Oryzias latipes: one gene and its partner. The protein of the gene in region 2 purifies or fractionates together with the protein of the main gene of each other region. This does not show direct contact. Links are inferred from orthologs where the notes say so. Each region holds a gene or a part of one and is shown on either strand. Other genes may lie near its edges.

Region 1 (3,825 bases), on a different chromosome or scaffold from region 2:
TCATGGAAATGGGATGTAACTTTAAACCTGTTTTTTCCCAGTGCCAAAATATCTTAGAACTGTGCTAAAGCAGGTGCAAACTGCTAATAATTTGTAGTTATCTTTTTTACTCTTTTCTTAAAATCCAAAACACAAAACAAAAGGCATGAACAGAAGAGTCATGAGGCTTCCATCTTAGTTTGCAGAGTTTTCTTTATTCCCATGGAGACAAAAAGTCAAAGGTGAGTTCCATTAGACTTCTCTGCTTATCTGGAACGTTCCACTGAACGAATACAAGGAATTGGTTGAGTTACAAACATTTGAAAAGCCATTTACATGTCTGCCTTTTTTGTACTATTCATGACCTGGAAGCTTTTGTTCATAAAGCATCTACGTTTTCAGTCATATGTTCTTTAAGAAACTTGAAGGACTAAACCTCAGATCAGTAGCGCATTGAGCAGCGGAGAAACTATCCACTACAGCAGGAAACATCCGGTGAACAATGAAGCAGGTTTTTACACCTGGTCCCACAATCAGTGCAGAAAAGATCCAACTGGTTAACTAGTTTTCCATATGAAAAGTTCCTCAATTTAAAGACCTCATCATAAATTCCATATAAAAAAATCAGGTGGTGGTTTTGTGATTGGAGCGAACCCTGATGGATACTCCTCCAGTGTCTGTGTCATAAAGACGTTCCTAAAAAATAAACAGGAGGCGATTCTGGTGAGAATTTCCCAAAACTCCACTAAACAGACACAGGTTGAACCAAAAATTACACAAATGATGCAACAAAGAAGGAGGACGCCCCTTAAACCCCAATAGCAGTAGAACCTCTTCCTCAGTGTAGGTCTCATACAGTGAAAACCATCTTCTGGTCTGGTTTTTCTGGACGGTCTGGAGCTCTAGTTCAGGATTTTCTTCTTGCATTCCACAGAGCAGAAGACAAAACTCTGCACCACCATGAAGCGCTGGCCGATCAGACTCTTGCTGCAGCCAGAGCACTTGAAGCACCGCGGTTCTGCGTGCCAGTGGAGAGCATCGTAAGAAACTCTCTGAGCTTCAGGGTCCACTGCATTCTGGCAGGATGAGCATTTCTGTGCAGAGGAACGACAGGATCAGGTCAGATCAGATCCATGTTTATACTGGACTCTGTCAGAGACATTTAAATTGACATGAACATGTTCATAAAATCAGAAAGTGGAATTTAAAAGAAGTGTTGATGTTTATGAGAGTAGGTATGAAGGTTTTTGACTTTACTAAAGACTAAGACGGAAAAAACACAAAAAACATTCTAGAAACATCTTTCATGGAGTCTTTTCCTTAACCCTTTGACGTTCTTTAGAATATCCCAAAACTCTTTAACCATTGAAACAATTAATGTAATTCCAATTCCATCGCAGAGAAAAACAGCATTACGCCGTTATTCAAGACTTTGTTAGGAATGTGTGGCGTAATTTGCTCTGAATCGGCAGAAAGCCAATCTGAAAAGCTGCTTTTCATCGCATCAGAATCTGTTGATTCCTGTTGATCGCATATTTGATTGAAAAGTTGTCATGTGTCAAAGAGCAATACCCTAACCCCCCTTACATTATCTGAACAAGTCTTTATCAATGTGTTTTCCTTTATTCATTTACTGCATACAAAATACTAGACAACAAACCAAAAAATGAATAAATAAAATACGCAGAGAGAAGACAAATGTATGATCTTGAGAACAGCTTGTTCTCCAATCAGAGAAAGCGACTCACCACAGCGTAGTTCTTCATGTAGCAGGGCCTGCAGATGGGTTTGTCATTTTCCATCACATACGTTTCTCCAGCCAAGATGCAGTCACAGTCAAAGCAGCAGAAATGCTTCAGGTGCCAGTTCTGTCCCTCCGCTTGGGTGTACTCATTACTGAAGATCAGCTGGGAAAAGCGGGTACAAGAATGTTTCCTCATGTCATCCACTGTGCAGAGACATTCAAGAGGAGGTAAAGCCATTACCTCATCACAGCCGGCACAGCGGGGCTTCTCGCTGTCTCCATAATGGCGTCCACAGTACATGTTGCCTTTCTTCCAGAAGTAGATCATGTCCACAAGCAGTTCGTGGCAGGTACAGCACACAAAGCATGCGGGGTGCCACAGTTTGTCGTAGCCGGCCCGCTCGGCGTAGACGGCCGGCTCGCCCTGCTGCATGGGCTGCTTGCAATGATGGCATGACTGGGAAGGACATACGGGACAAGATGACTGCAGAATTCAGCTTTTCAAAGGAACTGTTCCTGTTTGGACTTGGTCTGCATGTTTTGATGCTTGTTGTCCATGAAATTCTAGTTTGGTTATTGTCTACTAGGGGTGTAGCGGTACACGTATTTGTACGGAACCGTTTCGGTACAGCAATTTCGGTTCAGTTCACTTTTGTAATGTTTCGGGGGTTTTTTTGGGGAGGAGGGGGGTTCCCTCCCCCCCAAAGGCATTAACTTTGCGCCGAGGCGAAACTAATGTTAACCGTGAGTTTCCACCGAGACGCCATGTTGTCTGTGCTGAAGCCGCTGCCCGCGCGTTTGCAGGAAGGGGGGCACCGCAAGAGGGTGTTGCTCAGTTCGACGGAACGGTAATAAAAACGGTTTCCTCCAAAAGAAAGGAGACTGGTTCTTTTATCAACCCGCTCTGGAGGCTCTGAGGGTCTGAACGGGGAAGCAAACCCAGAAGGAAGATCCGCCTTTGGCCCCGGAGAAGATCTCCCCTGCATTTTCGGACCAAGGTCAGAAACGTCATCGCAGTTCAGGTTCAACAGCTATTAGGTGATGGAGGTGACAGTGAGCATGTTATTAGTATCAGCATGGCTAATGCAGATGTGAGGACAGAACTTAAGGACCCCCCCCCATCTCCCTACTGTGTGGGAACACTGGATTTGTTGTCTGCCTGAAGGGGAAGAAAATTGGACAAGTCGAATTCTGTGTGTTACACGACATTGTTACATGAAGATAGCATATGCCACAGAAACACATCTGCTAACGCACCTAAAATCACTCAACTGTATTAATCAGGTCTACAAGCAAAAAAAATGTGCAAGTTAAAATGTTTTTTTTTCAGGCCAGTGTTAAGTATCCAAAGTTTTTGGTTCCTGACAGCCAATAGTTGTATTGTTTTATATAGCAGATCACCTACATAGGTCAACTGTATTTATTGTTATATAAAAGCAATAAATGCATTTTGCAAGAACATTTCTTCTGCCTTTTTGTACCAAAAAAATATTGAAAATGTACCGAACTGAGCCCTATGAAATCCTGACCCGAACAGAACTTAAATTTTAGCGTACCGTTACATCCCTTTTGTATACCATACTTTATGCACTTTAAGGTGCGTTTATATTTATAAGCCATGATTTTTTTTAAAAACTGACACTCTGCTTTATAATCTTGATTTTTTTAATGTATGGATTAAATCTTTTTGCGTTTTCTAATGTCAAAGCAATTTTACGGAAAAACAAGGCACTCTACTCTGCCTGTTGTTCCAAACAACTTTGGGTGTTAGTGTGAATACGCTAATGTGGCTAATGTGTAGCTGTGTCACATTGTGTGTTTTTCTGCAAGTTACTACCAAGGTTTGGAGTGGGTGTAGTCAAAGAAATGTTTGTTTTAGTGATATCAGTCTGTTTTTTTTTGTACCTGTTGGAAAGGTTGGGAGTTACAGGTAAATATGCCAACACGGCTAACCTTTCTATCATGTCTAAGGTGTAGCGTGTTACAAACAAGTTCTAGAGTTGCTGTGAACACAGTTAATAAAGACTGACAGACAGACCTATCTCTGACTCTTTTGTCTCATTAATGTACCTGATGCTACGTTCACTCCCAGGCATGTGAAA
Region 2 (3,825 bases):
AGCTTCCTGGTTGTTTAAACGTTTGCCATATTCCATTTATATATATTTTAAGAATGCCAAGTCTAAATTTTGGGCGGCCGTGGTGCAGCGGTAGGGCGGTCGACCCATGATCGTAAGATTGCAGGTTCGATTCCCGCCTTGCATGCCCATGAGTCGAAGTGTCCTTGGGCAAGACACTGAACCCCACCTTGCCTCTGGTGGTAGGCGGGCGCCTGTGTTTGGCAGTGGAGCGGCCACCAGTGTGTGAATGTGTGTGTGACTGGGTGAATGGGTCTGTGACTGTAAAGCGCCTTGTCCTTGTAGGAAGAAAGGCGCTATATAAGCATACGCCATTTACCATTTACTAATTGGTTTTGTCTTGATCAAAGACAGTTTCTTCAAAAGCACTAAAAAATATCGCTGAGCCTGTTTTTATGCACTAAATATTTTAATATTATTAACCAATGTAGCAAATTCTTTTTTCCAAGTAATGTAAAATCTGATGTTCCTTATCCAATGACTTTATTCATTGGTTGTTCCAGACCAGAAGCAATTGTCGTTTCTTTCTTTGTGGAGTACAAATGGAGAACAGCAGAAAGGTGTTGTGTTACAGATGTATCAGGTCCCACATTAGTGTGGCCAACACAACGGCTGCTGGTGCAGTTAGATGACTTTTTATTTCTTTTGTATTTAATGTTTCAGGGGAAAGAGTGTTTGAGTCAGGCCACTACGCATGTACACAGTTCTCCATACTAAATTCAATAATTACCATTTAGACCTTATTTTCTAATTTTTGTTGAATTTACCTTTATCAGATTACTGTGTTGTCCAAATATTTTGGGTATGCTGTTTACTCCCCTCTACCTCTCATGTATTTGTCCATTGTTGACAGACGAGACGTATGACTTTAAATGTATAGTCCTGTGTGTCCACAACTACTAAGCTTTTATTGATGCATCATTTTATCAGAGTACTATGATTGCAGCTCCGTTCAGTATGCTGACAACTACACTTGACGGACCTTTTGAGAAGTATCTTGACCCTAGATTAAAATCTTGTGTAAACTGAGATGACGCTTATTGCACTTAACCTGTGTTCAGAGCTTTACTGTAATTGATCTGTAGTGATGGTAATTTTCAATTCTAGGTGATCAATGCAGCACTGGCCCTCGCTGCCAAACCCAATAGTAAGGTGGGCCTGGACAACATGGATTTGTTCAAGGAACAGTGGGAGAAACAAGTCCGTGTCCTCACTGATGCTGTTGATGACATAACATCCATTGATGACTTCCTGTGTGTGTCTGGTAAGAGTTGTTTATATGGACAGTGGAAATCTGGTTTAACTTTTTCTTTTTGATTTAAATAAAACTAACTATTTTTTACTTTTAAACAGTTTTAAACATTTATTTATCTGTTAAACTACACTTAGCCTTTGTTGTGATTCCTTTACCAGAGTTGTTTACTGGCTGGAGTAAACGTTTACATCTGCATCTTTACCAAATATATTTTACTTAGTTTGCCTTAAACGATTTTCATTAAACATTTTAGTAGAGTGACTTTTTGATCATTTTGTCAAGGACAGATTGTGAGTACTGCAAAGTTCCATATTTTGTTGGATTTACGTTATAAAAAGCTGAGAATTTCCCTCTTGACCATGCTTCCTTGTGGTTCTTTAGGTTTTGAGTGTCTAGTCAGAACAAGAGAATGAGAACATATCCCTTCCATTATGTTTTTAAATGTGTTTCACCCATATGGCACAAGGCACAGTTGTTGTTTTTCATAATGCTAAAATGTTTTTTTTTACGCTTTCTTCTCAGAGAACCACATCTTGGAGGATGTGAATAAGTGTGTCATTGCTCTGCAAGAGAAGGACGTTGATGGCTTGGATCGCACTGCTGGGGCCATTCGAGGACGTGCTGCCAGGGTTGTTCATGTGGTCACTTCCGAAATGGACAATTACGAACCTGGAGTCTACACAGAGAAGGTTTTGGAGGCCACCAAGCTCCTTACTAACACAGGTATTTTAAAAATGATCTGATGGGGTTTGTAAAAGAAAAGCATAAAGTTTCATCAGCCCCATTTTCTAAGCATTTTTTCTTTACAACATATTTTTCCTTTTAAAACCAAGATAAAATATGTTGGAGGGAGTTGAAATTGAATAATGACAGATCTGGAGTTGGCTCAGTAAATAAAAATTGCTTTCTGAAGTACTCTTCATTGTAATGTCGACTGAGTCAGACATCTGCAGCATTTTCTATTAGGCTGCCAGATAGAACTGAATATCTTAACCCAACTTGCATCATAGAAGTCATTTTGTCCAAATAATGTGGTATTTCATTAGCCAGCCAGCATGTATGATATGTGTTAACTTCCATTACTAGCAGGCTAACATGACAGAACGATTTTTTCGGTTGTCAGATTTAGAAATGGCTCAGCCCTCTTGAGAGTGAGCCCATTAACAGTCAGCAAATGCAGGCTGATTGTTATCTGAGGATTTCAGCTGAGGCTTGGATTTTCACGAATTCAAGTTGCCTTTTAAAAAAAATTCCTAATTTTACGATTGTCCCTAAATTCTAGTTCTTTCCTGCTCCGCTGTGCCATTTCTACTGAATGCTGATTTGAGCACATTTGAAAGGAAATTCCTATCCTGATGCTGGATTCCAAGATCACTATCAAAAGCAAAAGTATTTATTGTTTCTATGGTGTGTCATTTTGACAAACTCGTGGTAATGCTGCTTTTCTGGAAGGAAGAGGTCCTACGACAGTCCAAACTGCTGATGTTTTTGCTTCATTTTATTTTCCCTTTTAACCAAACTATGTTAAATGCTTTTATTGGGTGCATTTTTGTACTAGAATGTAATTTCTTCCCGGTTTCTTTTTTTGTTAATGGGAAGTAATTTGGAAGATTATTTTTAAATAAGCTTAGAAAAATGATCACAGCCAAAATCTGGTTATGGCCAGATTACCATATTTCTTTTTCTTTCTTTCAATATTTTACTTGATTTACATTTCTATGCAGAAGCCTGCAGGTTGTAAATGCTTTGTAAGCTCTAAACCAAATCCTCTTTGTGCACTATGCTCTACGCTGCCGCTCCCTCCCTCTACATTTGCATCCTGACATCCAGGCCTCACCCAAGAGGATGCAGCTAAATCCTAAAAACTGAACTCTAAATATTGCTGAATGCGTGGCAGAGGCTTCCAGAACTGATATCAAACTGTCACCGGGCCAAAATACACACCCAAAGAGACTGCTTTATTGTTGTAGCTTGTTGTTGTAAAACTCCCTACTTAACTGCTGTGTATCTATGTACCTCAGAAGCAATGTCTTATCTTTGTAGAATGAAGGTTTTTTTTTTTAATTCCAATTATCTGTTCCACTTTTAATTTTTCCTTTCAGTCATGCCACGATTCACACTGCAGGTAGAAGCTGCAGTCGAGGCCTTATCCAGTGGCGACCCCTCAGTGGATGAGAATGAACTAATCGATGCATCCCGTCTGGTGTACGACGGCATCCGCGACATCCGCAAAGCAGTCCTCATGATCAGAGTAAGTATTACAGATTTTCATCATCCCCAGCGTGTACACATGTTCATGTTTAAGGTTTACTCATCAACATTCAAATAAATATTTCAAAAAGTATTTTTGCTCGGCTGCACAATCTTAAAGAATTGCTGGAACTTTTAAATACTATAGTATGATCTAGGATTAGAGGGTCTTCTCCACAAGGCTTTGTTTACTAGGAAGAATGGTTGGCTTTTAAAAGCCTGTGATTAAAATGTCTAAGGAAAAAGCTGTGCTGCCTGAATAAACATGCAGTTTAGTGTAACACCAGCCTGCGTCGTCTTTG

Evidence for each region.
Region 1: the proteins of ctnna1 (region 2) and tes purify together in Homo sapiens (affinity purification with mass spectrometry; 3 studies listed by BioGRID and IntAct, with this or other methods). This does not show direct contact. The link is inferred for Oryzias latipes from reciprocal best matches to the Homo sapiens genes CTNNA1 and TES.

The regions. Positions count from the first base shown.
Region 1 is NC_019864.2:2,898,603-2,902,427, reverse strand, and holds the end of tes (testin), read right to left. Parts: intron 2,181-3,825; coding exon 1,965-2,180; intron 1,887-1,964; coding exon 1,728-1,886; intron 1,074-1,727; coding exon 882-1,073; 3' UTR 175-881; downstream 1-174. UniProt on the Homo sapiens protein: Scaffold protein that may play a role in cell adhesion, cell spreading and in the reorganization of the actin cytoskeleton. Plays a role in the regulation of cell proliferation. May act as a tumor suppressor. Inhibits tumor cell growth.
Region 2 is NC_019868.2:19,932,280-19,936,104, forward strand, and holds part of ctnna1 (catenin alpha-1), read left to right. Parts: intron 1-1,125; coding exon 1,126-1,282; intron 1,283-1,795; coding exon 1,796-1,996; intron 1,997-3,375; coding exon 3,376-3,524; intron 3,525-3,825. UniProt on the Homo sapiens protein: Associates with the cytoplasmic domain of a variety of cadherins. The association of catenins to cadherins produces a complex which is linked to the actin filament network, and which seems to be of primary importance for cadherins cell-adhesion properties.